4 linked regions of the Elephas maximus indicus genome follow. The protein of the gene in region 2 interacts with the protein of the main gene of each other region in a pairwise test. Links are inferred from orthologs where the notes say so. Each region holds a gene or a part of one and is shown on either strand. Other genes may lie near its edges. The genes, in order: keratin-associated protein 19-5-like, RBPMS, nuclear envelope pore membrane protein POM 121C-like and RBFOX1.

Region 1 (6,024 bases), on a different chromosome or scaffold from region 2:
TTTTAAACTCTTCTTAAAAATGACATTTGAATGACAAAATCTTTAGATATAAAATGGTTGGTTCCCATTTTCTTTCCTTGAATATTTTGAAAAGTCCCAACATTATTGCCTTGCTTTGCATATTGTTTTTGAGGAGTCCGAAGAAAGTCTATTTTTTTGCCTTTGTAAGTTACTTGATCTTTCCTTGGGTGCTCTGAAGTTTTGTTTTGTTTTTTTTTTTTTAATCTTAAAGTCTAATATTTTTACCAATATATGTCTTCAAGTTGTTCATTGTGGGTCAGTTTTCCCAAGTAATGGATGGCTATCTCAATATGTACTTTGAGAATTTCTTTTAGTTTTGAAAACTTTTCTTAGATTCCAATTTATTAGTTCTGTTCTATTTTCTCTTCTTTTTTTTTTTACACCCACTCTAATTACATGTAACCTAGATCTTTTTGTGTATCTTCTATTTTGACCACTTTCTCTCCGACTCTATTTACCTCTTTCTTTACCTCATGTTCATTATTTTTTTATTGTTTTCTTGCCTTTCTTCAAAGTCAGTTATTAAGTTTTCATTTGAATTCATTTTTCTTTAGGCATCTTGGAAATTGGCGTTCATTTTGATATGATTTTTATAGTTTTAATTGCTAAGTTTTCAACTCCTATTTCATTTTTTCCTATCCTTTGTCCACTGCTGTTCATTCTTTTTGAATTTCTGATTCATTTTTTAATATTCTCAATCCCTGTTGAGAATATTTAATTCAATGTGAAGTGTTTTGTTACTGCTTACTTTGCTCCTTTTTTGGGGAAAGGGGAAGGTGATGGGGAGGATTTTTGTCAGCTCAAGTTTTTATATTAATTTCCTTTCTTTTTATTATAGTAGTTTGTCTAGATATAGACTGTTTAGAGCATTGCATTTTATGGAATGTGCTGGTGGTTTGGGGTTGGTTATGAGATTCTTAGTTTAAGTGTGTGGTTTTCTCGCAATGTACCACGTATTGTTTTCTTAACTGATTGGTTTTACTTGGAGGGGACTTAGGGTTTGTCCTCCACTTTTATCCTTGTGATTACTAGGGTCCTTCATTTTCACTTCACTTTTTTTTTTCATGTACAGTTCCAAAAGAACACCTTCATCCCTTCTTATCTTATTTCTTCTAGATTCCTTACCTTTCCAAAACAAAACTGACTGGCATTCTATTCCTGGGCTTTCTTTCTTTCTTTTTTTAATTATGTTCCCTTAGGTTGAGTTTTTGCTTTCTCAAGATGGCTTTCTGTCAGTCTTGTCTTCCAATTTATCTCTTCTGGCAAGTCCTCCACCCCCTGGACATTTCTTTGCTCTTCACAGATGGTTGGAGAAGAATTCAAGGAATCTCACTGGCAAAAATTGATGCATATATTTTCTATTTCTTTTTTCTTATTTGAGGTCTTATAATACTTTTCATCTTGTAATTAGTTTAGAGGCATGGAATTTGTATGGTTTTATAATTTTTTTGTTGGTGTGTATATTTGTTAGGGGCAATGTTGGGAGAATCAAATTTATGCAGTCATACTGTTTCACTTGCCAAGGAAGTCTAAGGTGCCAGTTATTAATAGAGAGAACATGGCAAAATGTCCATAATTTTTCCTTTTAATATCCATTTAGATAATCTAATAGGGCAGAAGGGTGTAAGTGCACTAAATATACTTTACTGGTGTTCAGCAGTGCTGGCAGCAGAGAATGGAAAACCCATGAGATAAAAAAAGGTGAGATTGCACAGAATCTGTTTTTATTTTGTTGTTTTTTTTTTATGGATGTGTTCATTCATTCATTTATTCAACCAACAATCTACTGTTTATTCTCTGCCAGCCACAAAAATTATAAAATATTAGCATAATTAACATTCTTGCCCTCAAGGAATAGGTAGTGTAATGGAGAAGATAGCTAAACAAACTAATCAGTATACTAGAATCTGAAGAAAGGTCCAGGTCATTTGGCAGCACTCTGAAAGGGCTGTCTAATTTAGGCAGAGGTAGAGTAGCTGGGCATGTACTAAAATGTTCTTGGAGAAGGTGATGCTTGACCTATGTTTTGAAGGGTAGGTTGGAATCAGATGGGTGAAGCAGTACAATAGAGGATCCCAGAATGAAGGAGCACACCTGAAATGCTCAGAAGAGTGAAATGCTTAGGAGGTTGATGTCTTTCTTGCTTCTTCATAAAAGGGAATATGTGGTACATTCTAAGTGACCAAGATAGATAAATAAAAGCTCTGTGATGAAAAGGCTTATTTGTGAAATTAAAGAGCTTAAGCTTTCCCCTGAAAACTAAGGAGCATAATGGTTGGAAAATGAAATGATCATATTTGTTTTTTTTAGTATCTTATTTTGGACTCAGTACCAACAACGAGTCAAATGAGAATTTTTCCTTGGGGCAGTATCACCAGTGGTGAGGTTCTTACTTTAATCTAGGATAAAGTGATAAAGGACTGAATCAAATGATAAAAATGAATAGCCTTATGAGTGATATTTACAAAATATCATTGATGTGGTTCAGTTGGTTATATAGTTAGTATACACTGGTAGTCAGAGTGGGGGAAATATTCATGAAAAGTCGAGATCACATACCCAGGATTATGGCTTGAGTGACTGATATACAGAAAAGAAGCAGTATTGTAGGAAAGGATAAGTTTACCGTTGGACATTGAGCATAGGTTAAATGAGAGCTATTCAATAAGTAGTTAAATTGGTGGTGGTGATATGCAGAGAAGTATTTTAAATAGAAGATAATAATTAAAAATAATCTACACAAAATATATTATTAAAAACAATGCTTTCATGAAGTTCCAAGGGGAAAGTATATATACATTTTTTGTGAATTGAAAGTGACACTTAGCATTAGTGGATAAATAAGGAATTGGAAAGACAAATAATTAGGAATTCACAGAGAAAGCTAACTGAATGTTTTGGCACACAAAATAAGGAAAGAGTGTTATACAAAAAGAACAAAGGAATGAAGAGGCAGCAATGTCAAATGCCAAGGAAAGTTCAAGTAAGTCAAAAACCAAGAAAGTTTCCTCTAAATCTGATTACATGGAAAGCACTAATAACTTTGTGACTACCCCTGATCTTGAGGGAGAAAAGACCTTGAGTTCCGAGGATGATCATTAGCCAAAATCATGGAAGTCAAACGAAAAAGAAAAACACAACATGACCAAGGCAAAGGAAGGCACTGAGAGGAATGCAAGAGAAAAAGGCAAAAACGGTAAATACTATTACATATACAATCCTGCGATAACAGTAATAACAAACTGTAAATTATGAGTGGATACATAAGTAGATATCTAAGCTGAACAGGTGTGGGATGGCGTATGGGGGTATACATATGAGAATATATAGGTTTGACAGAGGCTATTTCTATATACATATTTGTATGTGCTGCAAATATATCCATGTCTATGGTAGAACACACAGGGGCACAGTTATGAAAATTTCCTAACCATAACCAAATAACTCAAGGGACAGAGTCAATGGACTAGAGGACTTAGGACCGTAGTCTCAGGGGACATCTAGGTCAATTGGCATAACATAACCATAAAGACAATGTTCCACATCCTACTTTGGTGAGTAGTGTCTTAAAAATTTGTAAGCTGCCATCTAAGATATAACTATTAGTCTCTTCCCACCTGGAGCAAAGAAAATCAAAGACTCAAGGAAACAATTAGTTCAAAGGATTCATGGACCACACAATCCACAACCTCCACTACCCTGAGACCGGAAAAGCTAGATGGTGCCCAGCTACCAATACTGACAGCTCCGATCGGGACAATAGTAGAAGATCCTGGACAGAGTGGGAGTAAAACATAGAACAAAATTCAAATTCATAAAAAAGACCAGACTTACTGGTCTAATACAGACTGGTGGAAACCCCAGAGCTATGGCCCTTAGACACCCTTTGAGCCTTCAATTGAACATACTGTTGGCAATCACCTTTCAGCCAAAAGATAGACAGACCAATAAAGTGAACAACAACAACTGTGAGGAGGGTGCCCCACAGGACAATCAACCATACCAGACTAAAAGGTAAGCATTTGCTCAAAAACAAAGTTCAAGAGGGCAGGAAGGAACAGGAAAGATGGGTGAATGGAGATGGGAAACTCAAAAAGGAAGTGGGTAGTGTGTGATCACATTAAGGGGTTGCAACTAATGTCACGAGACAAAATGTGTATAAATTGTTGAATAGGAAAAGAATTTGCTCTGCAAACTTTCACCCGAACCAAAAAAAAAAAAGAAGAAGAAAAGAAAAGTAATGTGAAGTTATGTAATTACAGGACTATTGGAACCCATCAACTAGAGGAGATCATTTTAATTAGGACACCAGCAAAGCCTTAACAAAACCAAACCCACTGCCATCGTGTTGATTCCAACTCATAGTAGAACTGCCCATAGGGTTTCCCAGGCTGTAAAATCTTTACAGAAGAAGACTGACACATCTTTCTCCCAGAAGAGTGCTGGTGGGTTCAAACCATGGACCTTTCAGTTAGCAGCTGTGTACTTTATACCTCTGCGTCACCAGGACTCCATGGCTTTGAATAGGCTATAATCATTTCTCATCTTGGAAACATTTTGTTGTAAGGAATGCAAACTCATTAAAAAATAATATTTATTATTAAAACTGCTTTAATAAGAGCCTGGGCTCTTTGGTGTGTAAGAAAAGAAAAATTATAAGGAATTTTTAAACTTTACATTATTCTGTTACATGGAAATGAAATCACCTTGCCATGGTTGTTTACCACAGTTACTATGGAAAATATCGGAATGTTCTGGGAAGCAAGAGAGACTCAGGAAACTCATCTTCAGCATCAAACCAATCTCTAACCCTTGACACCTTGAGCTACTGTGGCTGCTACTATGGAGGCCTGGGCTATGGCTATGGAGGCTTTGGTGGCCTGGGGTACGGCTGTGGTATTGGCTGTGGCAGCTTCCGCAGATGGAGTTATGGCTGTGGCTACAGAGGTTACGGATCTGGCTCTGGGTATGGAATCTATGGAGGCTATGGATATGACTCTTGTCACCCATCTTGCTATGGAGGATATGACTTCTCTTGCTTCTACTAAAAAGCCTGCAGATCCTCAGACTCTTTTATCACTATGCTCTTACCCACATTGTTCTATGATGTGAGCTCTTGTCTTGATGTAGGGAAAATATCTATCGTTTATTGGCATCAAGCTCCATATGGAATATCCTCTACCAGTTTTCATTTCCTCTAAAATGATCTGGAATCTCTTCATTGCTTCAGGGTTTCACTTGTTATTATTCTGTCATTAGCATCTGTTGTAAACATGTGTGAATTCTATTTTAAAATAATTTTTAATAAACATACTTAACTAGCAAAGCAAACATGGCTTCATCTTTATCAATTTGTTTCAAGGAAATTCAACTGGCTATGTGGGTTTTCAATCAGGATGTTAGTTTTCTTTCTTCCGATTTGTTAGCCACTCTTTAAGATAGAGTAGAACTGTTCCATAGAGTTTCCAAGGATGTAATATTTACGAAAGCAGACTGCCACATCTTTCTCCTGCAGAGCAGCTGGTGGATTTGAACTGCTGATGTTTAGGTTAGCAGCTGGGGCCTTAACCACCCCACCACCAGGCATCCTTTTTCTGTTTGTTTATGTCAAGGAATTTCAAATGGCTATGTAGGATTTCAATTAGGGTGTTAGTCTTCTTTCTTCTGATTTGGGAGTCTACAGGTGGTGTAAATGGTTAAGCACTCAATTACTAACCAAAAGGTTGGCAGTTCAAACCTACCCAGAGGTGCCTTGGAAGAAAAGCTTGAAAATATTCTTCCAAAATGTCACAGCCTTGAAAACCCTATGGAGCACAGTTCTGCTCTGAAACACATGGAGTTGTCATGAGTCAGAGCTGACTCGACGATAACAGGTTTGTTTTTGTTTTCTTTGTTTTTTGGTTAGTCTCCTTTTCTGAATTGGCGTTTTGATCAACAAAATGCATTTGATTTAACAAATGTTCATTAAATGTTTCCATGTGCTGGAGATTGTTCTAAGTGCTG
Region 2 (8,397 bases):
ATTTCCAACCCTAAAAAAGCTGCAAAAATGATCATTCTATACAACTGGCCCTAAATCAGTGTTTCGGCATCGTTGCGGCTTCACGGTAAGCATGCAACACTTTCAAACAGGGATAAAATATACTGAATGTTAAAAGGAGCCCACTTTAAAAAAAAATAGAAAATATATATATAAATAAACCTCTGATGAATCTGTGAAATAAACTATTTGCTCTTTAGGATTGGACTCACTTTTCCATGTCAGTTCAACAGCCATGAGAAACTACAACAAAACACATTTTTCCTCTCTTGTCGCTGTGCGTCATATATACATTTTATATGTGTGTGTTCTGTTTACTAGAGTCCTTTGCCAAGGCTTTTAAATGTGTTTGAGAAAGAACTGCTGATCCAGTGGGTGGGCAGGGAGAGAGTCCTGTGTGTGGTGGTTTTGTATCATGTCAAGACATTAATGGAACTCACCAAATACCATTTATTTTACTTGTGGCTTTCACGGTTAGGGGAGAAAAGGGGGTTAGGAGTCTTCGAAAAACAAACAAAACCCAAAACTGGAAACTGGAGCAAAATTTCCTGGATTATTCAGGGCCACTATTTTCTTTTCCTGAATTCCTAACACAGACCCGGTCTTCACGGTGTGTGTTTTATACACCCCATCTCTTGTACAACCGGAGTTCTGAAATCTTCCTGAGGCTCCCCACCTATTTTTAAAATAACAAAAGTTTTGATAAACATAGTGACACTTTCTTAGAGCCACATGTCATTCCTACCTGAAGAGGAACACAGACAGGGCAACTGGGCAGGTAGGAGGCGGTCACTGTCCCGAGCTTGCCTGTGGTTGTATTGGTGTGCAATTTCACACACATTAATGGTAAGGCTCTCAGGAACAAGGCAGCCTAACCTCAGTCCTGGCAGCAGTTGAGACAGGTCCAGCAGAAAAATGTGACTTTTCTCTACTTAATTTCATTAAGTGGGTCATGTTTTTGGAACACTCAAACTTCTTTTGCTGCCTACCAAAAGCAAAAAATAATCTTTGGTGTGCCTGATCAACTTTTTCCCAATTACAAGTTTTCACAACTGGATGATGAGAGAAAGATGGTTTCGTAGTATCTGTTTTTACCCCTAGAAGTAAAGAGATTGCCCATGTAAGTGAAACAAATATCTAACGAAAGCAATGATTGTCTTGGTGTGTTAAGCGGATTAAACACATTGCATTCCTTAAAAATACAAACTTGCCATCATTTTTTAAATTTTACTTAAGTGATAGGGAAATAAATAGCAAAGCAACCAGTAAAAAAAAAAAAAAAAAAGTGGAACTTGCGATTCAAATTTCCAGCTCTTTGAAAAAGTAAAGAAATATCAGTAGTATTACTTCGCTTGTAATAAAACATGCGAAGAAAACTTTTCAAAATAATACTTCATCATAAAATAGATAATTTCCTCAAGTGAAAAGGCAATTTTCATCTCACCACAATTCACCTAGGTTGCACTATCATACAAACGTTAAAGAGGAGAATCCTACATTTATTTTCCATCATTTTACATTGTCTTAGTTCTCTATCTTCCACGTTGAAGTGGTTCCCATATAACAGACAGACAATATCCAGCTGGCTTGTGTGTATTAATGAATTCCCCCACGTTTGGTTTCACTATCTGAATTTGTTTGCACACACAGTATTACAATAATAATCTCAGTTTCTGAATCACTCTGAATTGGCTTACCACTGTATTCACCTTATACATTAGGATGCAAGACCTAACAATGGTATCTAGGTCAGATCTAGACACATACTTTCTAGCATTTGCACAAACTCTTAAAATGTTTAAGAATTCAGGCGATTGAGATCTTAAAAAGTAAGAGAAAAATACTATTCTTTGCATCCTAGATTCTGTACCTGCCTGAACGGAGCTATTTAATAGGGTACCACAAATATCCTATATACAAAATCCTGAAAAGTTTGAGTCCCTCCCTACATTTACTGAGCTTTGTTGTTTCCACCAAAGGAACGCTTCGCAGCCGCAAAGTTCTACCGTTACTACCGACAAATCACTTAAAATTTATGTTCAGAAATAGCCTCAAGGGTCATTTGGTGAACTGTTAGGTTTTTAACCCTTTTATTCGTCTTCCCACATCTCCATCGTCCCTAAATTTGCAAAAGCTAACTGCCCAGGTTCGGGGTCTTTGACTCATCAAAGAATGAGGCTAATGAGTTATCTATTCAACCAAAATGCCTCCGCTTGAAAGATTTTTCACCAAGAACTTTTAACACCGAAAGGGAGGGGGGCGGGGGACAGAAGGTATCTTTTAACGAGAACTTGTCCCCGCCTTTCTTACAACACCCACACACTATAACTTCCAATCTCAAACGCAGAACTAAACCCTGACCCTGCGGGTCCTAATAATCTGAGGTCACCCAGGAGTCACCTCTCAATTCCTCTTTTAAAATCCCAAGCAAACAAAGCTGATCATTATACTTAGAGAAGTCTCCGAGAAGTCCTCAAAGTTACGCAATTTTAGGCACGCAGACGCGCGTGGACACACAAAAACACACTCCAAAGATACACCCTCCCGGGGCCAAATTGTGGGGTTGTGTCTTGGGGCAAGGACAATATTTCAAACCTCCAGGGGCACCCAGCCCGTCGCCCCGGGACAAGCGCCCGCGCCCCGCCGGCTTCTCCCTCCCGGCACTTTGGAGAAAGCCAGCGGCTCGCGCCCCCGGTCGCACCCACCACCGCTCCGGGCCACTCGGTACCTCTTCCTCCTGAAGGTTGGCCTCGCTCGGGGTGTTCTCCTTCTCGGCTTTGCTGCCGTTGTTCATCTTCCCGGTCCTTTCTTCCCGGGCGGGGCTGGGGCGCGGGGCTGGGCGAGGGCGCGCTCGCCCACTCTTCCCTTCCCGGGGCACCGGGGCTCCCTCGGGTGGGGCGCCGCCGGCTGCGGAGGCTGGAGCTGGGGCAGCGGCTGCGCGGGCTCCCGCGGCGCGGCGAGGCTGCGGCGGCCGGCGACTCAGGAAGTGCGAGGGAGAGACCGGGCAGGGCGAGGGCAAGGGCGGACTGAGAAGGGAACGGAGACAATCGGGACCCGGGAGTGAGACCTGGAGGGCGGGCCGGCGGGCGCGAGGGAAGGAAGGAGGAAAGCCTGGGGCTGGAGTTGGGGCCGGGGCCGCGCTGCCGAGCCTGCGGGCGCTGGAGCGGGGAGCGCGAGGGGCGCCCGAGAGGAGCAGCTGGTGCGGGCGCCGGGCGCGGGCTCGGGGCGGCTGGGGCGCAGGGGCCGGAGAGCCGCCGAGTGCGCGCTGCTGGCTGGCTCTGGGCGGACGCGATCGGAGCAGCCTCCTTTCTCTCGCCTTCCTCCCTCCCCTCTGCCCTCCTCTCCCCTCCTCCTCCCTCCGCCCTCCCAGGACGTGGGCTGCGGGCTTCAGCCCTGAGGGACGGGACCGGGACGACGGAGCCCCCCGCGGGAGGAGGGGCTGCACCGAGGGCGGCTGCCGGGCGGCCGGATGGCGCGCGCCGGGGAGGGGCGGCGTGCGGCGGGCGGGAGCGGCCGACCCCAGCCCGCGACTTCGCGGTAGGTCCGAGGGCGAAGGCACCGGAGGGGGGGAAGGTCAGCGCCGCGGGCTCACGGGCTCCGCTGCGCCCCACGGCCGAGCGGGGTCCGAGTTGCGAACTCGCGTGTCCGTGCGCGTGAGCTTGGAGAGGGGCTTCGGGGAAACAGGCCCTGCCAGTGCGGAGAGCGGGAACTGGGGTGTGCTACTTTAGCTTGCTGGCTTTCCGCGAGGGATTTGCACCCCTGTCCCTGAGTCTACCCTCTTTTACTACTCGTTTAGGCACAGTTCTTCCCTTCAGCCAGCAGTTTGAAATGACGGCCTGAAGGAACTGGAGAGACACCCTGGGGCAGCCTGCTCCCAACCGGCTTTTTAAAGCGCAGTTTCAAGCCCACCACGAACGTCCGGTCCACCGAAGCCTCTCCAGCCTCCTTGCACGGGCTGCTGCTCTCTGGGCTCCTCATAGCTCTTGTTCAGACCTCCCACAGCCCTTATCAGGCTCTTTGGAATTATTTGTTTACCTGGCTGTTTTCCTCACTCTTCCCGGAGTTTCTTCCAAGAAGACAAAGACCGTGCCCTGTTTATCTTTTTAATCCCACGGCTATTTAAATACACTACCTGGTATATAGTAGGCACTTAATAAATATTTGTTGGCCAAGTGAACATTCCTCAGTCTAAGCAGAACTTGAGGTCAGTAGAGCTGATCTTCAGATGGCTCGAAGCATGCAGAAGAAAAAAAAAAACCCTTCACTGTACACCAACCTTGGAAGGACTGCATGGCTTCTGTTTCAGTCTCCGTAAAGTAGAAATAGCTATGCTTATCTCCCAGGGTCATGCGAATTGAAGAAGATTATAGATTGATAGAGAGGCCCGTGGGTGGCACAAAAGGTTAGCGCTGGGCTACTAGCCATCTGTGGTTGGAACCTACCCAGAGGCTCCAAGGAAGACTGGCCTGGCAATCTGCTTCCAAAAGGTCACACCCTTGAAAACCCTGTAGAGCAGTTGTTCTCTGACACACATGGAGTCGCCATGAATCAGAACCAACAGTAACAAGATAGATTGATAAAAATGTAGCACCCAACAGCCATTCTTGCTCAGCCGAAGTTCACAATATATGGAAGCCAACATGATTATTAAGAAAAGTTCCATTTCTGCTGGGCCTTGGAGGGATTCTCCAATACTGGCTCCTTTAAGCTTTCCAACTTGACTGCTGCAAACATAAGTTTAAAACTCCACATCGGTACGTTCCCCCCGCTTGCCACTGCTAGGAATTCTCTTTCACATGATGCTGTTCTTTCACAGCAGAAATCACAATTTCTAATCACTTATTTTTTGTTTATTTGCTTTTGTAACGTTATCTCTTTCTCCCCCACTGGACATTCTGGACCCTAGTATACTGGTTTACGTGCTGTTGCAAGTGTGGTAGGGCTTGCAGATGAGGCCTCTGCCTTTGGGAAGTTTAAAGTGGTGTTGTGGAGACAAGATACCCAAAACAACGCCACAGCAACGTAATTGCAGAATTCTGGTTTAAATTGTCAAAAGCAGTTTAATTGTCTAAATGTAGAAAATACTTGCTTCAAGCATACCATGAAGAGAAAAGCAGTAGTGATACTTGGACTTACATATTGGGTTTTACTTGGTGATCTGAAGATTTTGATAAGGATAAGGTCTTCTGTAAGAAAAAAAATGTTTTTCTTTAATTGCTGTCGTAATATCATTTCTCTATGGTAACAAAAGTGAATCCTGGATGAAACTAAACCAAGAGTTTATTGAAACTACAATTAAAGAAGCTGAGAAGGACAAGGGTTATTTTGTTCCTAAAACTTGGTAACTCACTTGTCCTTGTTTTGATTATTCATTTGTCTTAATTGGGAGCTCTTTCCACTGCCAGCTTCTCCCTCAGTTATAAAGGTTAGAGGTGACCACAAGGGGGCAATGTCTTCCTGAGCAATGATTGTGTGGTGGTCTTGGGCCCCAGAGATGGTCAATAATGGCAGAACTTTGTCCTCCTTGGCTATTCCTGCCTGTTACTGAGGACACTCCACAGAAGGGGATTGTCTTGTTGGAGCCTGGCAAACGCTCAAGAAAAGTGACAGTTGATGTAGTCATTGATGGTTCCAGTCAGACCCCACTGATGAGTAGGTGGAATACGTTGTGTGAGTTCAGGATGCTGGGAAAACCTCACGTCCTCCTACACAGGGAAATGTAGCTTCATTCTCAGAGTAGAACCTGATTCTTTTGTCTTTCAGCCAAGCCAGGACTTTGTCTACTGTTAAAAGTCAAAAACCTCCGGGATAAAAAACAAGAATAGGTTTCATGAGAGGATCTTTGTCTAGATTGTTCAATGTTGCATTCCCAATATCTAGACAGTGCCAAACACGTTGTCCAAAAACAACCAAGCCTGTTGCCGTAGAGTCGATTCCAACTCATAGAGATCCTATAGGACGGAGTAGAACTGCTCCATAGGGTTTACAAGGTTGTAATCTCTACATCTCCACATTTTCTCTCGCAGGGCTTCTGGTGGGTTCGAACTGCCAACCTTTTGCTTAGCAGCTGAGAGCTTAACCGTAGCAACACCAGGACTCCTGAACACATAGTAAGCACTCAATAGTTAATTTTTAATGAATTAACACATTAAGTCATCAGTTATTGATTCTCTAGTCTGAATGAATTAGATCCTTCCAAGATCCGGCAGGAAGGACCAAATTAGTGGGGACATCTGAGATTGGAGAGCCCCCATAACGTCATGGCAGTGATTTCTACTCATTATTTTGTTCCAAGGGGCAGACTCTAGATAGAGACCTTGTACACAGTGGGGCACCTAACGAGATTTCAAGAAAGAAAAAATAAAATCACGGCACTATATTGATACATTCTGACACACACCTCAGTGTTGTATCCTCTCACCGTATTTATTCAGTCTGTATGCTGAGCAGATAATTCAAGAAGCCGGATTGTGTGAAGAAGAACGGGGCATCAGGATTGGAGGAAGACTAATTAACAACCTGCAATACACACAGATGATGCAACCTTGCTTGCTTAAAGTGAAGAGGACTTGAAGCACTTACTGATGAAGATCAAAGCCCACAGCCTTCAGTATGGATTACACCTCAACATAAAGAAAACAAGAATCCTCACAACTGGCCCAATGAGCAACATCATGATAAACGGAGAAAAGATTGAAGTTGTCAAGGATTTTGTTTTACTTGGATTCACCATCAACGCCCATGGAAGCAGCAGTCAAGAAATCAACAAGGTATTTCATTGGGCAAATCTGTTGTAAAAGACCTTTTAAAGTGTTAAAAAGCACAGATGTCCCTTTGAGATGCCACTAAGGTGTGCTTGACCCAAGCCATAGTATTTTCGATCTCATATGCTTGCAAAGTCTGGACAATAGAATGGCCCCGGACCGGACAGTGTTCCATTCTGTTGTACGTAGCGTCGCCATGAGTCGGAACCAACTCAATGGCACCTAACAACAACAACAATTGATACACCAGGTTACCCACTGCCATGGATTAGATCTTGACTCATAGCGACCCTAAAGGACAGGGTAGAACTGCCCATAGAGTTTCCAAGAGTGTAAATATTTAAGAAAGCAGACTGCCACATCTTTCTCCTGGGGTGTGGCTGGTGGTTTCAAACCACTGTCATTTTTATTAGCAGCCGAGCAATCCATTGCCCCACCGGGGTTCCTTCTGATACATCAGGTAGTTTGCAATCAAGCAGGGAGACCTAGAATATTACCGTCAATGATGAGAGTGAAATTGAAGATGTTTTCGGAAGAGCACGTACGGATGGAATTATATGCCAGGAAAAGAGGGATTCCGGTTTTTTATCCTTTCCATAAAGCATGGTTTAGACTTATTTAGAAGAATGATAGAGTAACGTATTACCAAACAAAACCCAATGAGAATCTGTAAACAGACTCTTGCTATTTATAAAACTTTGGGAGTGAGGGGAAAGAGTTTGACAGCGTGGAGGAAAATGTCAGGATATAAATGGTCTTTATGACCTGTTCACTACTTCAAAGAAGAAAAGTTTCAAACATGAGATCGCCTCAGTAGCAATAGTTTCCAGACACATAAATATAATTATAAGACAACGAAGGGATTTTATATCCTGGAAAAATTGGGCTAATGACCAAGTAACATCTGCTTCTTCCCCTGCCCACCACCCTACCGCACAGCTGTCTGGCCTACAAAGCGACATGCTAGATTGAAAGGGAAATACTGTACACACCTGTATTTTTTATTACTCATCTCTGTTTCTCTGGCAGTGTTCATTTGGAGGCTTGCTTTAAGAAATGCAAACCTGTAATTATGTCTTACGTGTTTGTCTCTGAGAATTGCAGACATTAAAGGTCTATTCCGAGGCTATTTGTGCGGCATGGGTTTTTGTACCTGTGTTAGCTCTGAGGTAGAAGGCTGCGTATCTACCACATGTGTTGTGATTGTTAACTTCTGTATCCTATGCTGTACCAAAAAGGTCCTGAGGCCAGAGGATGTGCTTTGCTGATTTTTGCCATCCTCACACCTCTCCCTCCCTCACACCACTCACCTCCAGGCCATCACTGTCTCCCCCTGATCTTACCTCCCAAGTAGTTCTCAGATCCAATCACTTCCCTCTAATCATTTGAGGAAACTCTAGCAGCCACATGGAGACGCCCACATGGAGGAGAATCAAGGTCCCTGGCTTACAGCCCCAGCTGAGCTCTCAGTGGACAGCCAGCACCAATTTGCTGGCCTTGTGAGTGAGCTGTCTCAGAAGTGGATGTTCTTAGCCTTAGTTCAGCTACCCCAGCCGACGCCGTGTGGAAGGGAGATGAGCTGTCTTCACTGAGCCCTGCCCGAATTGCAAAATGG
Region 3 (8,339 bases), on a different chromosome or scaffold from region 2:
CATACATACAGTGGAATACTGTTCAGCACAGAGGAAAATGAAGTCTTGATACACACTACAGTATGGATGGAGCTTGAAGACATTATGCCAAGTAAAATAAGTCAATTACAAAAGGATAAATATTGTGTAATCTTATTTAAATAAACAGACAAGAAAAGGCAAATGTATAGAAACCAAAGTTTATTAGTGGTTACCTGGGGCGGGAGGGAGGTAGAAAGGGGGGTTAAGGGTGATAGAAATATCTCATTGATGAAGTGTAGGATTGCACAGCAGATTATTGTAATTGCTGTCAGTAAGTTGTACACCTGTAAAAAGTTGAACTGGCAGATGTTGTGTGATGATACATTTACAACAACAACAAAAAAGAGTAGCTGCTGAAGCTGATTATGTACAACCAAACACCTCATGGGATTTGGTTCCTTGATTTGGAGGTTTAGGGTCATGGTTTCATGGGACATCCCAGTTAAATTGGCCTAATATGTTTAGTGCTTCTGTTCTACCGCCCAGTTTGTTGTGTAGTGCCTGGGGTCTTAAAAGTTTGCAAGCAGCCACCCAAGGCACAACAGTTGGTCTCTATTTGCCTGGAGCAACAGAGGAAGAAGAGAGTCAGGAATAGAAGGAGAAATATGGAATGTGTGGCTAAATGACTCCATGAACAACCACCTTTTTTCCCATGAGACCAGAAAAACTGGATGGTGCCTGGCTACCGTTCCTGAACATTTGGGTCAAAGATCTATAGAAGAATCCTGATCAAAAGGGGGAAAATGTAGAACAGAACTTCAAATTCTCATGGACTCCAGACTTCCTGGAACCATGATGGTAGATGAACGCCTGAAATTATTGCCCTGAGATAATCTTTAAACCTTAAACCGAAACTATCCCCTGAAATCTTAAAACCAAACAATAATTTAGCTCTGCTAGTAAAAAAGGTCTGCCTTGAGCATTATGCTCTTTTAAGAACTATATGGGATCAAAGCAAGAACAGCAAATTGAAAGACAGAAACCTTAGGGGACAGTGAGTTTATGTTAATGGGAAGGAACAACTCAGAAAAGGAGAGTGAGAATGGTTGCAGAACTTGAAGAATGCAATCAGTGTCGCTAAATGGTACATGTAGAAACTGTTGAATTGGTGTATGTTTTGCTGTGTACGTTCTCAACAACAACAATAAAATAAAATTTTTAAATAACCAAAGAAAACCCTATGGGGGATAGTTCTACTCTGACACACATGGGGTCACCATGAGTCAAAATCGACAGCAACTGGTAATCCTTTTTTGGTTATGTGCATTAGAATTGTTTTTTTCCCAAATTTTAGCTTATCTTTTAGCTGCTTATATTGTCTTTTTGCATATAGAATATTCTAGAGACTGGAAAGAAATATACTTCAGTACAAATAAATTGGTTTCTGGTCTATACAGTTGTTTCTCGTGAGTTTGGTTATTGTGAGGCCGGCCTCTTTTATCCCTTCCAGCTCTCCCGGGTGGTGATGCTTTCACTGAGGAGGAGCCACAGAGTCTGTGTGGGCGGTCAAGACAAGACGCATGGTTAGTTTTGTCTTACTGCCTGCAATATATGCTAGGCAACTGAGGGAACCAAAGCACGGAGCATGAAGTTGCTTGGTCACCATGAAGTCAGAACAAACAATAATATTTGGGGAGAATGCTTCCAATAGGTAGCCCACTGGATTGTTTTTCTCTACTGAAGGGGCATTTCTATCTTGAGAATGAATCCAACACTGTAAAACCAGAACAGTTTCAGTCTCATCAGTTATATTCTAGCCGTAGCTTCCTGAGATTGCAGCCTGATCCGGGCTGTGGACTTGGAAAAGCCCTCAGGACACGTCCACAGATGGCTAATTTCATTTATTCTGTTTTAAAGTATGAGCTTTGGCTTCAGAAATTGTTCCTTTTCCTTATGTGGTTTCCAGGTTCTGTAGGTTTACCATTCAGACTTGGAGCTGACTACTTGCCAGTGAAAGGGTTCTGTGACCCCTGCAGTTTCCAGGCGTTCTCTGCCATGTCTCTGTTCCTTGTAATCCAGAATATGAAGCAGTTATTTACTGTGTCAAAAAGAGCAATGTCTGAGGAATTTGGAGTTCTTTTCTATGCTACTACTTTTCTAATTTACTGTGTAGAGGAGCCCTGGTGGTTAAAGAGCTAGGCTGCTAACTGAAAGGTTGGTGATTTGAACCCAGCAGCCGGGAGATGTGGCTGTCTGCTTCCATAAAGACTACAGCCTTGCAAACCCTGTGGAGCAGTTCTGCTCCGCCCTGCAAGGTCGCTGTCTTAGTCATCTAGTGCTGCTATAACAGAAATACTACAAGTGGATGGCTTTCACAAAGAGAAGTTTATTTTCTCACAGTAAAGTAGGCTAAAAGTCCAAATTCAGGGCATCAGCTCCAGGGGAAGGCTTTCTCTCTCTGTTGGCCTTCTCATCAATGTTCCCCTGGACTGGGAGCATCTTTGTTCAGGGACCCCGGGTCCAAAGGATGTGCTCTGCTCCCAGCATTGCTGTCTTAGTGGTATGAGGTCCCCATGTCTCTCTGCTTGCTTCTTTCTTTTATATCTCAAGACATCTCAAAACACAATCCAGTCTTGTAGATTGAGTCCTGTCTCACTCACGCAAGTGCCACCTATCCTCCCTCATTAACATCATAGAGGCAGGATTTACAACATACAGGAAAATCACACAATACCAGGAATCATGGCCCAGCCAAACTGATGCACACATTTTTGGGGGACATAATTCAATCCATGACAGTCGCTATAAGTCGGAATCTGCTCGATGGCAGCAGGTTACTGTGTAATGTTGGATAAGCCATGTTACTTTTCTGGATTGGGTCTTCTCATCTGTAATTGAATTAGATTTTTTTTTAAAGCAAGATAGCCTACCCACTTTTCCTTTCAAATGAAATTTTATGTAAAATCACAAAATATTAAACTGATAGAAGCCGAGCTGGCTTATCTCTCCAAGTTGCCTCAGAGGCACCTTTGCTAAGCCCTGCGTACATTTCCAACCTCCTTACCCCCCAAACACCTGCATCTCCGGCCATACTGAACTATTTGGAAACTCTTGCATCACACTCGTTTCCGTCTCTGTGTGCCTGCCTGGAGCCTGGTTTAGCCAGCTGTTTCAGCTCAAGTCGCACCTCCCTGGCCCTCCTGCCCATTTATCATGCCTTCTCTTTCTGTGCCTCTATGAACTGTAGTTTTCTATTTACACATATTTCTTCGCTACCAAACCGAGGGCTTCTAGACCTTACCCCCCTCCCCCCAAGTCATTTGAGTGTACATCAGTAATGGAATGAAGAAATCAATGAATGAGTTATGCTGAGAAAGCTGAGCTAGGTCAAAATCTGGATTGGCATACTACCAATTTTTTTTCAACAGCTTTGTTAAGATATGATTCACATCTCATACAATTCACCCATTTAAATTGAATTCAATTCAGTGTTTTTTAGTATATTCACAGGGTTGTGCAACCATCCCGAGAATCTAATTTTAAAACACTTTTTTCTTCCCTGAAAATGAAACCCTGTAACCCTTAGCAATCACTCCCATTCCCCACCACCCCCACCCTACTCTGCAGCCCTAGGCAACCGCTATTTTCTCTGACCACCAAATTTAACATAGGTGAACTGGTCATTAATCTTCAAAATTTGGTAGGGAATCGACTTGACAGCACTGGGTTTGTTTGTTTTCTAGCACTGCTTAACCAGCTTGTACTGTAGAAACTCAGATTCAGGACCTGAAGCAGCAGCCCTAGGGACTCTCTGATCCAAAATTTATTAGAACTAGTTCAGGAGCCCTGGTAGCACAGTAGTTAAAGCGGTCAGCTGCGATCTAAAAGGTCGGCGGTTCAAACCACCAGCAACTCCACGGAAGAAATATGTGGCAGTCGCTCCCCTAAAGATTTACAGCCTTGGAAACCCTAAGGGACAGTTCTACTCTGCCCTATAGGGTCGCTATGAGTCCGGAATCAGCCCAACGGCACTGGGTTTGGTTTGGTTTGTAGTTCTACGTTTAATAGGATGGTTGGTTTGGTCTTGCTTTTCCCTATTGCTGTTGAAGTTAGTCCCCTCTAGCTATTTATATTTTGGAGTAAACAAGGTAACTGAAAAACTCAGTCTCTGTTAGCAATTGTGGCAAGTGCTTGGTAACGATCTCTTCTGGGAGATTAAACCCATTGCTGTCCGGTGGATTCCTACTCATAGCGGCCCTGGAGGGGAGATTAACCTTAAAAACAACAACAAAAATATACTTTTTGCTGTGGATGCCGGTTCATAGAGATCCCATAGGACAGAGTAAGCTGCCCCATAGGGTTTCGAAGGCTGTAATCTTTACAGGGAAACCCTGGCGCCGTAGGGGTTAAGAGCTACCGCTGCCAACCGAAAGGTCCGCAGTTGTAATCCGCCAGGCGCTCCTTGGAAACCCTGTGGGGCAGTTCTACTCTGTCCCGTAGGGTCGCTCTGAGTCAGAATCGACTCGACAGCAGCGGGTTATCTTCACGGGAGGAAACTGCCAATCTTTCTCTTGGAAAGCGGCTGCTGGGTTCAAACCACCGCCATTTCGGTTGGCAGCGGAGCACTCTAATCGCTGCGCCACAAGGTTTCCGGAGGGGAGATTACCCTGTTGCTGTCGATTCCGACTCATAGCGACCCTATAGGGCAGAGAGCTGCCCCCTACGGTTTCCAGGGAGCGCCTGGTGGACTGACTGCCGACCTTCGGGTAACAGCCGTAGGTCTTAACCAGGCCACCGGGGTTTCCAGGAGGGGAGATGAGCCCCTGGAAAACATCTAGGGTTCGGAATTACGTGAGAATATCATGAAGTAAGGATTAGGTGAGTACTTTCCCTGCTTTTATTTTTAACAAGATTCTTCCACAGGATCATGTCTGGTTGGTGCACTGCGGGGAGACACGCGGGAAACCTCGAGACTCAGAGCTCGCTTCTGGAGCAAAGCCGCGTTTTTCAAATTCGGTCTCGGTCTACCGAGTTGCCAAGCAATGGCGTCGCTCCGCGCCGTCGCGTGCGCAGTGACGTCGCCGGCGCGGTGACGCGGCGCGCCGCGCGGTGCACGCTGGGATATTTAAGTCCTCCGCGGCGCGGAGCCGCGATGTCTCCGGCGGCTGCGGCGGCTGGAGGAGGCGAGCGGCGGCGGCCGGCAGCCGGCGTCAGGGACGGCCGGGGCGGGGGCTGCGGCGGCCCGGCCGGGGCGGCGCTCGTCGGCCTCTCGCTGCTCGGCCTCTCGCTGCTCGGCCTCGTGCTGCTCCTGGTGCCGGCGGCGGCCGCGCTGGCCTGGCTGGCCGTGGGGGCTACCGCGGCCTGGTGGGGACTGAGCCGCGAGCCCCGGGGTGCGCGCGCCTCGGCGCCGGGTCGGAACGCGCGGCGCCAGCGGACGCGGCCGCCCTCGCCGCCGGCCAAGCCGGCAGTGAACGGCAGCCTGCTGGAGCCGCGGGCGCTGCTCGAGGGGCCCGCCGCGGCTGAGCTGCTGCTCATGGGCAGCTACCTGGGCAAGCCCGGCCCTCCGCGGCCTCCGCCCGCTCGGGAGGCCCGGGACCCGCCGCAGGGGCCCGGCCGCCGGCCCGCCGCCCTCCGCCCGGCCGCCCGGCCCTCGCCGCCGGCGCCCTCGGCCGGCCTCGGCCACCGCGCGCAGCCCGGGCCCCCCACGCCTGTGCTCCGAGCCTCGAGGAGGCTGCCCCGGCGGTAGGGCTTCCGGGGCCCTTGTCGGTGTCTGTTGGGGGGCGTTAAGGCGAGGACTTAGGTGTTTGGTCGTTTCGTTGGTTTGCGTTCAGTCGGAAGCGGCTTCCCTGTGATTTTTGCCTTCTTTAAACGCTTGGCGTGTCCGTGGCCTCCTGCCCTCCTCTCCGCTGGTGGAAGGAGATGTGAGGCCAGCGCTATTCCCCGCCCTCCCAGTTCTTAAAACCGCCAGAATTTTCGTGTAGTATAGATTCAGCGGGGAGCCCTGGTGGCTCAGTGGTGAAAGCGCCCACTCTGACTCAAAGGTCCGCGGTGTGACCCACCAGCCGCTTTGCGGGAGGGAGATGTGGCGGTCTCTTTCCGTAAAGATTAAGCCTTGGAAACCCTGGGGGCGGTTCTCTTCTGCCCTGTAGGGTCGCTGTGAGTGGGAATCAACGGCAGCGGGTTTGGGTCGGTTTGGGGGATTACAGATTTAGCAGTATATTTGATAAAGCACTAATATTTCTATTTCGAGTGAAAATTACTTTTTCTTTCAAGCATAGTCTGTAGTGTATTTTGGTCTTTGGACCAGTGAGAAATTATATCAGTTAGCAGAACTCGAAGTGTTCCAGAGAATTCAAATTAAAGAGACATTTTTATTTAGTCCCAATAGCTGAGGTGATACAGGCGAATACAAAAATTTGGTGAAAATGTTAGATTCTTGATAAGTACATTTGTTTGAGAAGGTGAACATTTAGGTGTGGAAACTGGTTAAAAATGTTTGGCTTTGGGTGTATTCATTACTGGAGTTTTAGCGTAAAAGACTGAAAAGATTGAAGAATTCTTGAAGAATTCCTCCCTGTGCACCCTAACACACACTTGTATGCCATTGCATGGGCAGGGGTTCCAGCTTCCCTAGCAAATTGTTGAAGTCCCTTGTTGAGACAGTTGCTAAGCAGCTGCCAATTTCTACCCTTAAATAGAATGGGGGAAAGTTGCCATAGAAATATTGTGTTCTGTGTTAGAAAGAGATTTAAGCTCTCTGAAAGACGTCCAAACCCACATGGTTGTTTGGCCACTTTAACTTTCTGACATTCTTTTATACTTCTTTGCTTCCATGGCGTATCTCCCATTCTTTGCAGGAATTGTGGGACTTTGCCAAATCGGTTTGTAATAACACCTCGGAGAAGTTACCCAATCCAGCAGGCCCAATATTCCTTCCTGGGGGCACTTCCCACGGTGTGCTGGAACGGTTACCACAAGAAGACGGTGCTGTCTGCACGTAATTCCAAGATGGTGTGCAGCCCAGTGACAGTGAGGATTGCTCCTCCTGATAGCAAGTTGGTTCGTTCACCAGTGTGAGTATTGTGGAAAGAACAGATTCCCTTTTGTGTCCACTTTACTCTCTGTTACTCTTGTGTGGTTATTCCTTTGACAACTCTGAAGGAAAAAGAAGAAATAACTGTTTATTTGAATGAGAGAAACCCTAAATTGTAGCCATTGAACCTTTTTTAATTTTTTGACCTTAACGGTGGCTTAAATCACTAAGAGCAATTTCTGTGAATGTATAAATTACACTTTTGCTAGCTTGGGTTTTGATTTCCTATTATTAGCATCTATGCTAAATGTGTAGTAATTAAAATATTTTAATACTAGATTTTTGTTTTTCATTGCAGACCAGAGCAGATAATCAGCTCAACACTGTCCTCACCATCAGGTAATATTCCAGACCCATGTGCAAAGGAGACTGTACTGAGTGCCCTGAAGGAGAGGAAGAAAAGAACAGTGGAGGAGGAAGACCAAATATTCTCAGATGGCCAGGAAAATAAAAGAAGGTAATAGGCCCAGCAGACTACTAAACAGCCTCCCTGTGTACTCCTGGGAATTTGTTGAAATACAGATCATTCCCAAAAAATATACAGAAGCCAACTTTAGTTTATGAACCTTCATATTCCCTTCTCTGGCTTTCATGAAGGAGCCTGGTAACAAAGGCATTAATGCTGTTCATTTCCATGGGTAGATAAATTTTATAGTCTACCTTTTTTATAAGTATTAGAGATAAACCAACAAGTATTAGCCATATCAGCCTCACACTTTTGATACTAGCATGTTTAATTTTATATTTGAGAGAGAATGCTCAAAGTCTTCCACTTACAATCTTGTGTTGTTGATTTATTTGGCCAACTACCTGTTTAAAAGTCATAATTGTGCTAAAGGAAATGCTTGCCAAAGAAGAGTGAAGACTAGAGTGTGGTAGATTTACCAGTAATGAGAGTAGAACCAATTTCATTATTTGCCTTATGTGATACCTTAACGGAAGTACAGTAAACAGTCTGTTTCCCAAATTTAAGAGATGAAGTGGCTAGTCATGATATAGAACTACTTATGGCTTTCCAAGGAATCAGTAAGGACTCCGCACTTTTTTTAATTTAACAAATATTAATTGGGTACCCACTGTGTGCCAGGGCCTGTTCTAGGTACTGTGGATAGAGCAGTGAATAAAACAAAGTCCCTACCCTCAAGGGGCTTTCTTGAGGGAGATAGACAAATTAAAAAACAATGAAATAAACAAGGTGATTGAAGACTATAAGTGTACAGGGGAGGGGTACAAAACAAGGTGTATATAACAGAAGGTAATGAGAAGGGGGTTTCTCTGTATAAGG
Region 4 (8,917 bases), on a different chromosome or scaffold from region 2:
TCTTGCAAGTGCAGCTTATTTTTAGGCCTGATCCCTCATTGACAACCGACACCCAGGTAAGAATGCTAGAGGAGTTTGAGGGTCCTTTACGCAGACACAGACTCTCATCTTCAGTCTCAATTCTGTCTTTACATGCAAAGCGATTGCCACTGAATGGTCGGAATTGCTTCTGCCTCAGACACAGCCCTTTACTCTGGAAGAGGAATGCTGGGCTCACCTGAGCTCTGCCACGCCTTCAGCCCTCCGATTCCATCCCATGGAAGGCCCATGCTTTGCCTGGAGAGCTGTGTCTAGAAATGGAGCTTCCGCAGCATAGCTCAAATGGACCATCAGGGGCAGAGACCTCGTTCAAGAGGCCCAGGGGGCTTTCCTGGGTGCTGGGCTCAAATTGCCACACAGAGAGCTGAAAACAAACTCAGAATCTTTGTATTCCTTGAATTGGAAGAGAGAGCAAGAAGTCATCTGGTCCAAATGCCTGTTGTATTCATTCATTCACCCATTCTGTATTTTCTAAGCACTTACTATATGTCAGGGTCTGGATACTGCAAATGGTTAATACACTTGGCTGCTAATCGAAGGATGGAGGTGTCTCAGAAGAAAGGCCTGGCTGTCTACTTCTGGAAAAATTTGCCCTTGAAAACCCTACGACACACAGTTCTACGCTTATACACATGGAGTCCCCATGAGTCAGAGTTGACTCGACAGCTACTAATTGGGTGCTGTATGTCAGGCACTGTATTAAACCCTGTACCTCCAGTGGCCAGAGCTACAGCTGAGAGCCTTTCCAGTTTTTAATCAGTAGAGGCGTGAAAGGTCCAACACCTCTCTCAGTAGATGGACTCGTGAGAGCTTTAGGATTAATTAAACCTGGGATGTGGCACTCAGCAAAACTCAGGTGGGAAGGGGCCAGGGTGCGAGGTGACTTTTCTAGAAACTGGAGCTGCTTTTTCAGAGCAAGCACACATTTTATGAAGCGTTTGCTGCAGCCTGCCCTGCCCTTCCTCTACCTTATGTCCCCAGTCCTCAAATGCTGCTGCGTATTTTTTTTTTCCTACAGCACTTATCACCTCCTATTATGCTGAATACCAAACCAACCAACCAACCAACCAACCAACCAACCAACCAACCAACCAACCAACCAACCAACCAACCAACCAACCAACCAACCAACTAACCAAACTCATTGTCATCCAGTCAATTTCAACTCATAGGGACCCTACGGGACAGAGTATAGGAGAGGCTGGTAAATTCCAACTGCCAACCTTTTAGTTAGCAGTCAAGCTCTTAACCACTGCACCACCGGGGCTGCATATTTTATTTATTTCTTACTTTATTGCTTATTTTCTCCCTCCCCTCTAGAACGTAAGCTCTATGGTGTCCATGAACTTGGCTTGCAGTCTCCTCTCCAGATAAACCCCAAGGGACTAGAACGGTGCCTGGAATGCAGTCAACACCAAACAACTATCACTGAAGTGTTCGAACAAATAACTATATCGAAGTGCATGTTACAGAGATTAAAAAAATAAAAATAAAAAATTGTCTAAAAATACTTGCATTCTCACTTTACTGAAGATTGAGCACATGTTGTTCCCAGTTTCAAAATTTGGAAGTGAGAGTAAAATATTGCTAAGTCACCCCTTGACACTTCCACTGAGCCAATCCTAGTATGGATAATTAATTACGCTTACAATAGAAAGTCTCTCATTTTGTCCAACTGGAGTCTCTTGCTTTGAGGTATGACAACTATAGTAGAAAGTATCCTTAGTGAAATGTCTGCTATTTTGACACACTTAAGAAGTTACAATACAGGGTTAGGAAAAAGAAAAAAGAAGGAAAAAAAAAAGAAATCAAGAGTAGTTTCTTTATTGTTTCAAATAGCTGGCAAGTTTAGGGAAAGAAAAAAGTTACAAATACTATTGTGGAAGTCAAATTAAAACTTGAGCGGTAGCCTTCTGCATAAGGAAGTTCCATTTGAAGGTGATCTTGTTTCTTGCTGGTTTTCACATTTTCTTTCAGCTTCCTACAGGGTGTGAGTACCTATTCAATTAAGGGCCCCTGTACCTGAAAGGCAGGCAGGGTGGCCCTCAAACGTGTACGAGGTGTATACATACATACATACGTCCAAGCGCCCGGGGGTTCTTCGCAGAAGAGACAAGATTATGTCTTTCCCCGCTTCTCCCATTTATTGACGTAGAAGCATCATTCAGGAGCCAGTGGCATTGATGTGGCTCTCTCCCAGTCTCTGTTGAGATCAAATTCAAATCCAGCATCCCCAGATGCTGGTCAAAAGGCGAGCGAAGTTTCATCATCCAGGGAGCAGAGGTTGCAGGTATGGTGCAGTTTGACATGGCGTCGCTCGATGCTGTGTTACTGATCCGTGGGCAGTGATATTAGCGAGTGTAAAAACCTTGCCTGCCTGCTTCTTTAAGTGGCTGGCGTGTGTCTAGGGTTTGTACTTGCCTCTGTGCATGAGCGCGTTTGCATGCGCTTGTGTCAGAATGTGTGAGTTGGTCGTCCAGAGAATGGAGCCTGGCTGAGAATCCTTTTGAGATGGAGGTAGAGGGTCTGCATCCCATTGTTTCATTTTGCAGACTTCCAATATGCCTGGGCTGTGAAGAGATAAGTTTAAAGGGAAGCCTGGGCCGTTATTGCAGAATGGGGCTGCAAAAATCCAATCACCATGAAAAGGTTTTAAACTTTGGGGAGAAAACGGGCCGGCAGACCACTATTGGCTCAGTGCAGCTGAGAGCCGTTATTGGTTCCTTACATAATGTATTTGTTTTTTCATTAAACCATTCAGATAAGGTCTTATTAAAGTGCCATGTATTATTTATCATGTTTCTTATGAAAATGAGCTAAAGGGAAAATTCTATCCTCTTCTTGGGGCATTTGCAGGCTTTCCCTGTGCTGGCAAGAAAAGAAGCAAGGGAAGAAACAGAACGGAGGAAAGCATGGCAAACCCTGTCATAGAGCAGATTGCTTGAGGCAAAAGGAAAGGACCGGAAAAGGAGAGGAAGGGGAGGAAAGACCCTTGTATTCTGTATATGCTTTGTTCAGTGGCTTTCTTTTTGATTTTGTGAATTGCAAAAAAAAAAAAAAGCAGGTAGAGACTAAGGAAAGAAAGATGAAAGCAAGAAAGAGAATCATTTTATTTGTAAATCAGAGCTTGTCTGTTAAACAGGATTTCAGAGTCAACGTAGAGCAAGGATTTTTTTACAAACTAACCACTGTCTGCTCCCACAAAAAAAAAAAAAAAAAAAAAAGTAGCAGAGAACAATGCCCAAGGCACTCCTAATCCCCCATGCCAACTTCTACCTGGGGCTAAATGGGCTGTCGTTGTTGTGTGACTTCAAGTCCATTCCGACTCATAGTGACCCCATGTGACAGAGTAGAACTGCCCTGTAGGGTTTCCTAGACTGTCATCTTTACAGGATCCGATTGCCAGGTCTTTTCACCTGCAGAGCTGCTGGGTAAGTTGGAAGTACCAACTCTTTGGTTAGCTACTGTGTCTCTATTCAGTTGACGGGATTCGTGAGCCCCAGTATGGTTGAACAGACTGGTTTGGCAAATGAAAAAGTAAAAAGAAGCAATCTGGTTTAGGCCTAGTATTTGGCATAACGAGGACCTTGTAGTTACTGATAGCTTTTCAAAACAAACAGCAAAAACAACAACCAAAAAATGGAGCTGTGCAATAGTTAATTTCCTTTCCTTCAGAAAGGATTTTGATTAGCCTCAAAGTGAGTTGTCACTTCTGAGCTGATGGTTCAGTTCAGAAGAGGTCTTGTGGCTGAGAGCATCTATGTGAGCCTCACAGAGAATCTGGGGGCGAGCCCCTGGTGGCCAGTCCCCTGGGTCACGTCCTAAATGCTCCTTTGTGAGAATCCCCATCCCCTCTCAAAGTGTGACCATGTCCTGCAGACATTGGCAAGCCTTCAACAAGCATCTTTGCAGGGAAACCCGCAACCCGAAAAGATTCTGTTCAGAGAACTGACCTCTTGCTCGGGAAATAAAAAGAAAATCCAATCACTGAGTCAAAAATCTATATAATAAAAAAAAATATGGCTACTATACAGTGATCATAATCTCACTAGTGCCCAGAATGTGCACTAGTGGGGACCAAGGACAAGTTAGAGTCTTAATATTTTCTTTTGATTTGCAGATCACATCCTATTTGATCGCATAAAGACTAACACAAGCTACTAATGAATAATTATTCCTTCATAAAATACAGGAGAGGGGGAGACCCATCTGCAAGAGCAGAATGCTAATTTGGCCAAAGAGGGCTGGCCAGACAAGAATAAAATAAACCATTTTAATTTGCCCACTGCAGCCCACAGAGTAATCTCTTATCAGACACAAGCCTCCCCCAGCCTGTGCATTCATAATCTGAGAAGAGCTGGGATTAGAAGCCCCCTTGCCTTCCCCAGGAGCTGGCATGTTAGTCCAACAGGCTTGATTTCAACGCCTGCCCAGGCAGTTTGCCCCAGCGGTTAGGATAGGGGTTGGTTTGCTGAGCGCACTGCTGCCTGCCCAGCAGAGGCAGAGAGCCAGCGAAAGCTGCGCCCCAAAAAGCCTCGGGGCTTGTAGCTGCCTTTGCTGCTGGGGCACAGACACCGCCCTCCCTCCAGCGCCCCCAGCCCCAGCTTCCCCCTAATCGGGGCTCCCCAGATCTCAACACCTCCAGCTTCTTAAGAGAGGAAATCCTATTTCTGTGTTTATTCGAGGAGTCAGGCAAACCAACCGCCAGGAAAAGCAAGGAGTCTGGGTCCCAGCTGGGCGAGCACAGGAATTGTCCAGCTCAAGGCTGGATGCTGGCGATGTGGGGCGCTCGCTTGCTTCCTCGCCCGCCCCGCAGAGATTTTTAGCAGACACAATTTGAATTTTGGTGAGTCGTTAAGGAAAAAAAAAGGCAAAGGAGAGGAGGGGGAAAAAAAAAAACACAACCCTGCCCCTGGACCCATTTGACAAATGAGAAGGCAGGCAGCATCAGCACCAAAGGAGTGAGCCTCCTCTGTGAGTCAAAATCTCTCTCCCTCTTTCTCTCTCCTCCCCTTTTCATCTCTCTCTCCCTCTTTCTCTCTCCTCCCCTTTCATCTCTCCCTCTTTCTCTCTCTCCTTTCTCCCTCCTCCTTCTCTCTACCCGCCTCCTACTCAGCATTACAGGAGAGTATCCATCCAAACCTCTCTACCTTCCATCCAAGTTGCCTGTGCTTGGTCCTGTCATCTTCACCGGGTGTGGGGTGGGGGGCACCTTCCACTTTGGGGGCGGTTAAAAAAAAAAAAAAAAGCAGGCCCAACAAACCAGAAAACGATCCAGCAGGGAGGAAAACAAAATAGTTTCCTGGTCCTCTCAAGTGTCTTAGTTTCAGGCAGAACAAGGCTGGGATCTAGCAAACCCAAAGAGAAAGAACGCCAGGGAGGAGGGACACGAGGGGTGCGGGGGGAGGGAGAGAGAGAGAGAAAGAGAGAAGAGACAGAGACAGCCACCCGCGTTTGACTTAGATAATCAGCAAAATTAAAAAGAGGAAAAAAAAAAATTGTAGCGGCCAGGCAGGGAGCAACGTGATTGCATGCGAGCGTCCCCACTTGTGCTCGGCGGGTACCACAGAGACACGATGCAGCACCCTCTGACGGGGGCCACCTGCGTGGCGCTCCCCAACGTGGGCATGTGTCCCCAGCTCTCGTGTGCCTTGACTTTTATGTACTTACAGCAGGTAAGGCGCGCCTCTGCCTCCGTGGCCGCTTCCCGGGGGCTGCACCGACTCGGTACCCTCATCCGTGGGCTGCGCTTTCCTGCCTTGGAGGGGGCTTGGGGAGGGGGGCTATGCGCTGGCACTGGAGGGGTGGATCTGAGCCCTTCGTTCTCTGCGGAGCCCAGAAACCCCCTGCCGAGCTGGTTTTGCATCTCACTGAATACTTTGCATGCCTGCCTCCCAGCCTGGGTACCGGAGTTTGAAATTGAAAACTGTATTTTTTTTTTCTTATTCGCATCCTTCTTCTGTCTGTGCGTCTAGTGGCGATTTGAAAATCAGAACCCTTTGATGCTAAGAGTTTGGAGTCTTTGTGGAGGCATTCGGGTGCCTGTAGTTTTCATTAAGGTGATTTAATGGGGAAGAAAAATCATCTACGTAAGCATGTGTGTGTATGTTAAGTTTTTTTTTTTTTTCGCCTTAAGTTTGCCTGTGTCGTGTTTTGTGCTGTGCTGATTCTTTATGGGATCAGGCTGTTTAGATTTCTGGATGCTGATAGCCCCAAAATCTGCCTCCAAACTCACAGGCAATGCTATGTACGGTGAAGGCAAGAGGTTTAGGATGCTGTCTTTGTTGGCACTGTAGAGGCATTTGTGTCTTCTCTTCACTCCCCGCTTAATTAAGGTCTTACTGAGGGATGTTGTGTTTGTCTGTTTGGCTTTGCACTATCCCTACATTTCAGTCTTCCGCTGTGTCTATTTTTCTCTGGGTGTTTCCCTCAGACCCCCTCTTTCTCTGTCTTCCTCACTTTACTAGAAGGGCTGGCACTGGTACCTGTGCCTGGGCTTGGGAATCCGCGGAGCATTGCCTTTGGGGGGCGGGGGGGGGGGGACAGCTTTCTGCTCTCTGTCAAGGGGTCAGTGGCTGTGCCTGTGAACTGGCAGGGCCAGAGGGTTTGTCATTCCAATGGGAAACCCTCTCCCTTCCCCATCCTGCTCTGCGAAGAGTTTATTGGGATTGTAGGCATTTTATCTGCTTTCCACAGACTCACTTCCAGAGTGCCATTTGTTAACATGTGTGTTTGTATGTTGACACAACTTCCTTCACAAGAGTTGAGAGGTGCCTCCTTCCCTAAAGGCCCTCCATTTCCATCTGGATTATAGGCATAGATGCATTTATAAAATGTCAAGATTGTTTTGAACATTTGGGTAATTTGTTATCAAGTTGGTTGCCTCCAGAAAATATATCTTAGGATTATTTGGTTGCAAGTCTGAGAACAGCCTGTTATTATTATTTTTGGTAATATCTTGAGAACAAATTGGTTTATCCTTTTAAATATCTTTTTTATTCCATTTCTCATTAAGTAAATTGTGCCAGGAAACATTTCCCAAGAGCATACTGGTAACGTATTATATGACTCATCTGCTGCTAGCATTTCTTTGCTGTGTGCGTGTGTGCATGCGTGTGTGTGTATGCGTGCGTGTTTTACACCAGTTACCCACCAGAAGAACATTCTAATGAGTGTTTCTACAGATGCTAAGCCTCGGTCGGATTTAATCAAATTATTAATACGAGTTGATCTTGTGCCTCCTACATCCACTCCTTTTACGTTATTTATTAATCAATTTGAACAGCATTACCTAACAAGCAGAATGCTATAGGTATTCAGTGTTCTGACCAGTTCTTTGTGCGTTGTTCTTTTTTTTAAAAATAAATCAATGCTTCTTCCTCCTAAATTGTTAAATCGGTTTGCTCATTTAGACACAACTTGGGAAAGCAGGCGGTGTCTTTGAGGGAGAGGTTGTTATTTTTGCCATGTGAAGGACAAGTATATAGGATAGGCTCAGGGGCTTTCATCATCCGCCCTGCTGGCTCTTCCAGGAGTGAAAACTCCCCTGCTCTGTGGTGGGAAGGCTCAAAGGAACCATTGGCAGCCATAACAAATATTTAGAAGTGACTAGATCAGCATTGTGGTTCCATATGAAGATGGGTAAAGGGTGGGTTTTGCATTTTGCTTGGGAATGCCTCCTCTTGAAAGGATTTGTAATGCTGTCCGTGAAAGTGCTGATAACATGATGCTATGACAAGATGTCAGAATGGGGTATGTGTGTGTGTGTGTGCACGTGTGTGCATTTTCTCTGAGTTTTGCTAAGTGTCTGAAGTATAGTAGAGGCAGTCTTTATTTGTGTCTGCTTGACTCAGAATGTAGTTTTCCAGCCATACCTCCTACCCTCCCTAAAGGATCACCATCAGGGCGGGAGAGACGTACCTTTGGGTCACCTCTCATGGTCCTCACTGCCATGATAGGTTGTGTGACAATTCCATGGCATTGTTTTAATTTACCAATCCAGACAATTGAATGATTAAGAGTGTGAAGTAGTTCATTTTAATCTTTACAGACTACGCACAGATGCAATCCGTGTGACTTCGGCCTATACGACACAGCTTTTGTTGTTGTTTTTTGCTCCTTATCTGTAACTATTCTTGTGTCTTTAACCGAAAGATCAGTGGTTCAAACCCACCAGTAGCTCTGTGGGATAAAGATGTGGCAGTCTGTTTCCGTAAAGATTTACAGCCTTGGAAACCCTATGGGGCAGTTCTACTCTGTCCTACAGCGTTGCTATGAGTCCAAATCGACTCGACAGCAACGAGTTTGGGTTTGCTTGTTTGTTTGTTTTGATTTATTTAATTTTGAAGATCAGAGGACAGATCAATACTCACAAAGTAAGTTGAGGAACCAGTGAATCGGGCCACGTCACAGTAAATGATGCCTTGGCTGGAAACATTTCGGAAGACACCTATTTCAGGAGTATGTGTTATCTTGATATTGTAAGAAAACAATTAAAACACAAGCATCTTATTCAAAGGCTTTATTGTTCCTGTCTTATACACGCACAGACTCTGATCAGGTGGTACCCAGAGTCTTCACTGAAATACAGCATCGTCTCCAGGAATGAAGTCTGATATGGCTCCTGTTTTTTTTCGAGTATCCAAGGGGAATTACTTCAGAATCTGTTTTCTTTGCATCAGCTCTGCCGTACAGCCTTTCTCCCTAAATTCTCCCAAATTTGTTCCTAAGAAAACTCATGAAAACAGAAATCATGCAAGTCTACTCTGACTGTCCAAGAGAAAGCAACACACCTCTTTTGCCACAAATAACTTATTTATTCAGGCCAAAGCCGAGGTGACTTTGGTGCTTAAATTATCTGGCTGATTCAGTTTCATAT

The links.
Region 1: the proteins of RBPMS (region 2) and keratin-associated protein 19-5-like interact in binary tests that used the Homo sapiens proteins (3 or more experiments, as listed by UniProt). The two-hybrid records come from large-scale screens. The link is inferred for Elephas maximus indicus from reciprocal best matches to the Homo sapiens genes RBPMS and KRTAP19-5.
Region 3: the proteins of RBPMS (region 2) and nuclear envelope pore membrane protein POM 121C-like interact in binary tests that used the Homo sapiens proteins (3 or more experiments, as listed by UniProt). The two-hybrid records come from large-scale screens. The link is inferred for Elephas maximus indicus from reciprocal best matches to the Homo sapiens genes RBPMS and POM121.
Region 4: the proteins of RBPMS (region 2) and RBFOX1 interact in binary tests that used the Homo sapiens proteins (3 or more experiments, as listed by UniProt). The link is inferred for Elephas maximus indicus from reciprocal best matches to the Homo sapiens genes RBPMS and RBFOX1.

The regions. Positions count from the first base shown.
Region 1 is NC_064836.1:31,077,171-31,083,194, forward strand, and holds keratin-associated protein 19-5-like, read left to right. Parts: upstream 1-4,733; coding exon 4,734-5,069; downstream 5,070-6,024. UniProt on the Homo sapiens protein: In the hair cortex, hair keratin intermediate filaments are embedded in an interfilamentous matrix, consisting of hair keratin-associated proteins (KRTAP), which are essential for the formation of a rigid and resistant hair shaft through their extensive disulfide bond cross-linking with abundant cysteine residues of hair keratins.
Region 2 is NC_064840.1:69,843,110-69,851,506, forward strand, and holds the start of RBPMS (RNA-binding protein with multiple splicing), read right to left. Parts: upstream 3,352-8,397; 5' UTR 2,813-3,351; coding exon 2,747-2,812; exon of another isoform or gene 2,421-2,746; intron 1-2,420.
Region 3 is NC_064830.1:110,393,000-110,401,338, reverse strand, and holds the start of nuclear envelope pore membrane protein POM 121C-like, read left to right. Parts: upstream 1-5,065; 5' UTR 5,066-5,113; coding exon 5,114-5,703; intron 5,704-6,818; coding exon 6,819-7,034; intron 7,035-7,352; coding exon 7,353-7,511; intron 7,512-8,339. UniProt on the Homo sapiens protein: Essential component of the nuclear pore complex (NPC). The repeat-containing domain may be involved in anchoring components of the pore complex to the pore membrane. When overexpressed in cells induces the formation of cytoplasmic annulate lamellae (AL).
Region 4 is NC_064830.1:65,286,053-65,294,969, forward strand, and holds the start of RBFOX1 (RNA binding protein fox-1 homolog 1), read left to right. Parts: upstream 1-5,660; 5' UTR 5,661-5,666; coding exon 5,667-5,714; intron 5,715-8,917. UniProt on the Homo sapiens protein: RNA-binding protein that regulates alternative splicing events by binding to 5'-UGCAUGU-3' elements. Regulates alternative splicing of tissue-specific exons and of differentially spliced exons during erythropoiesis.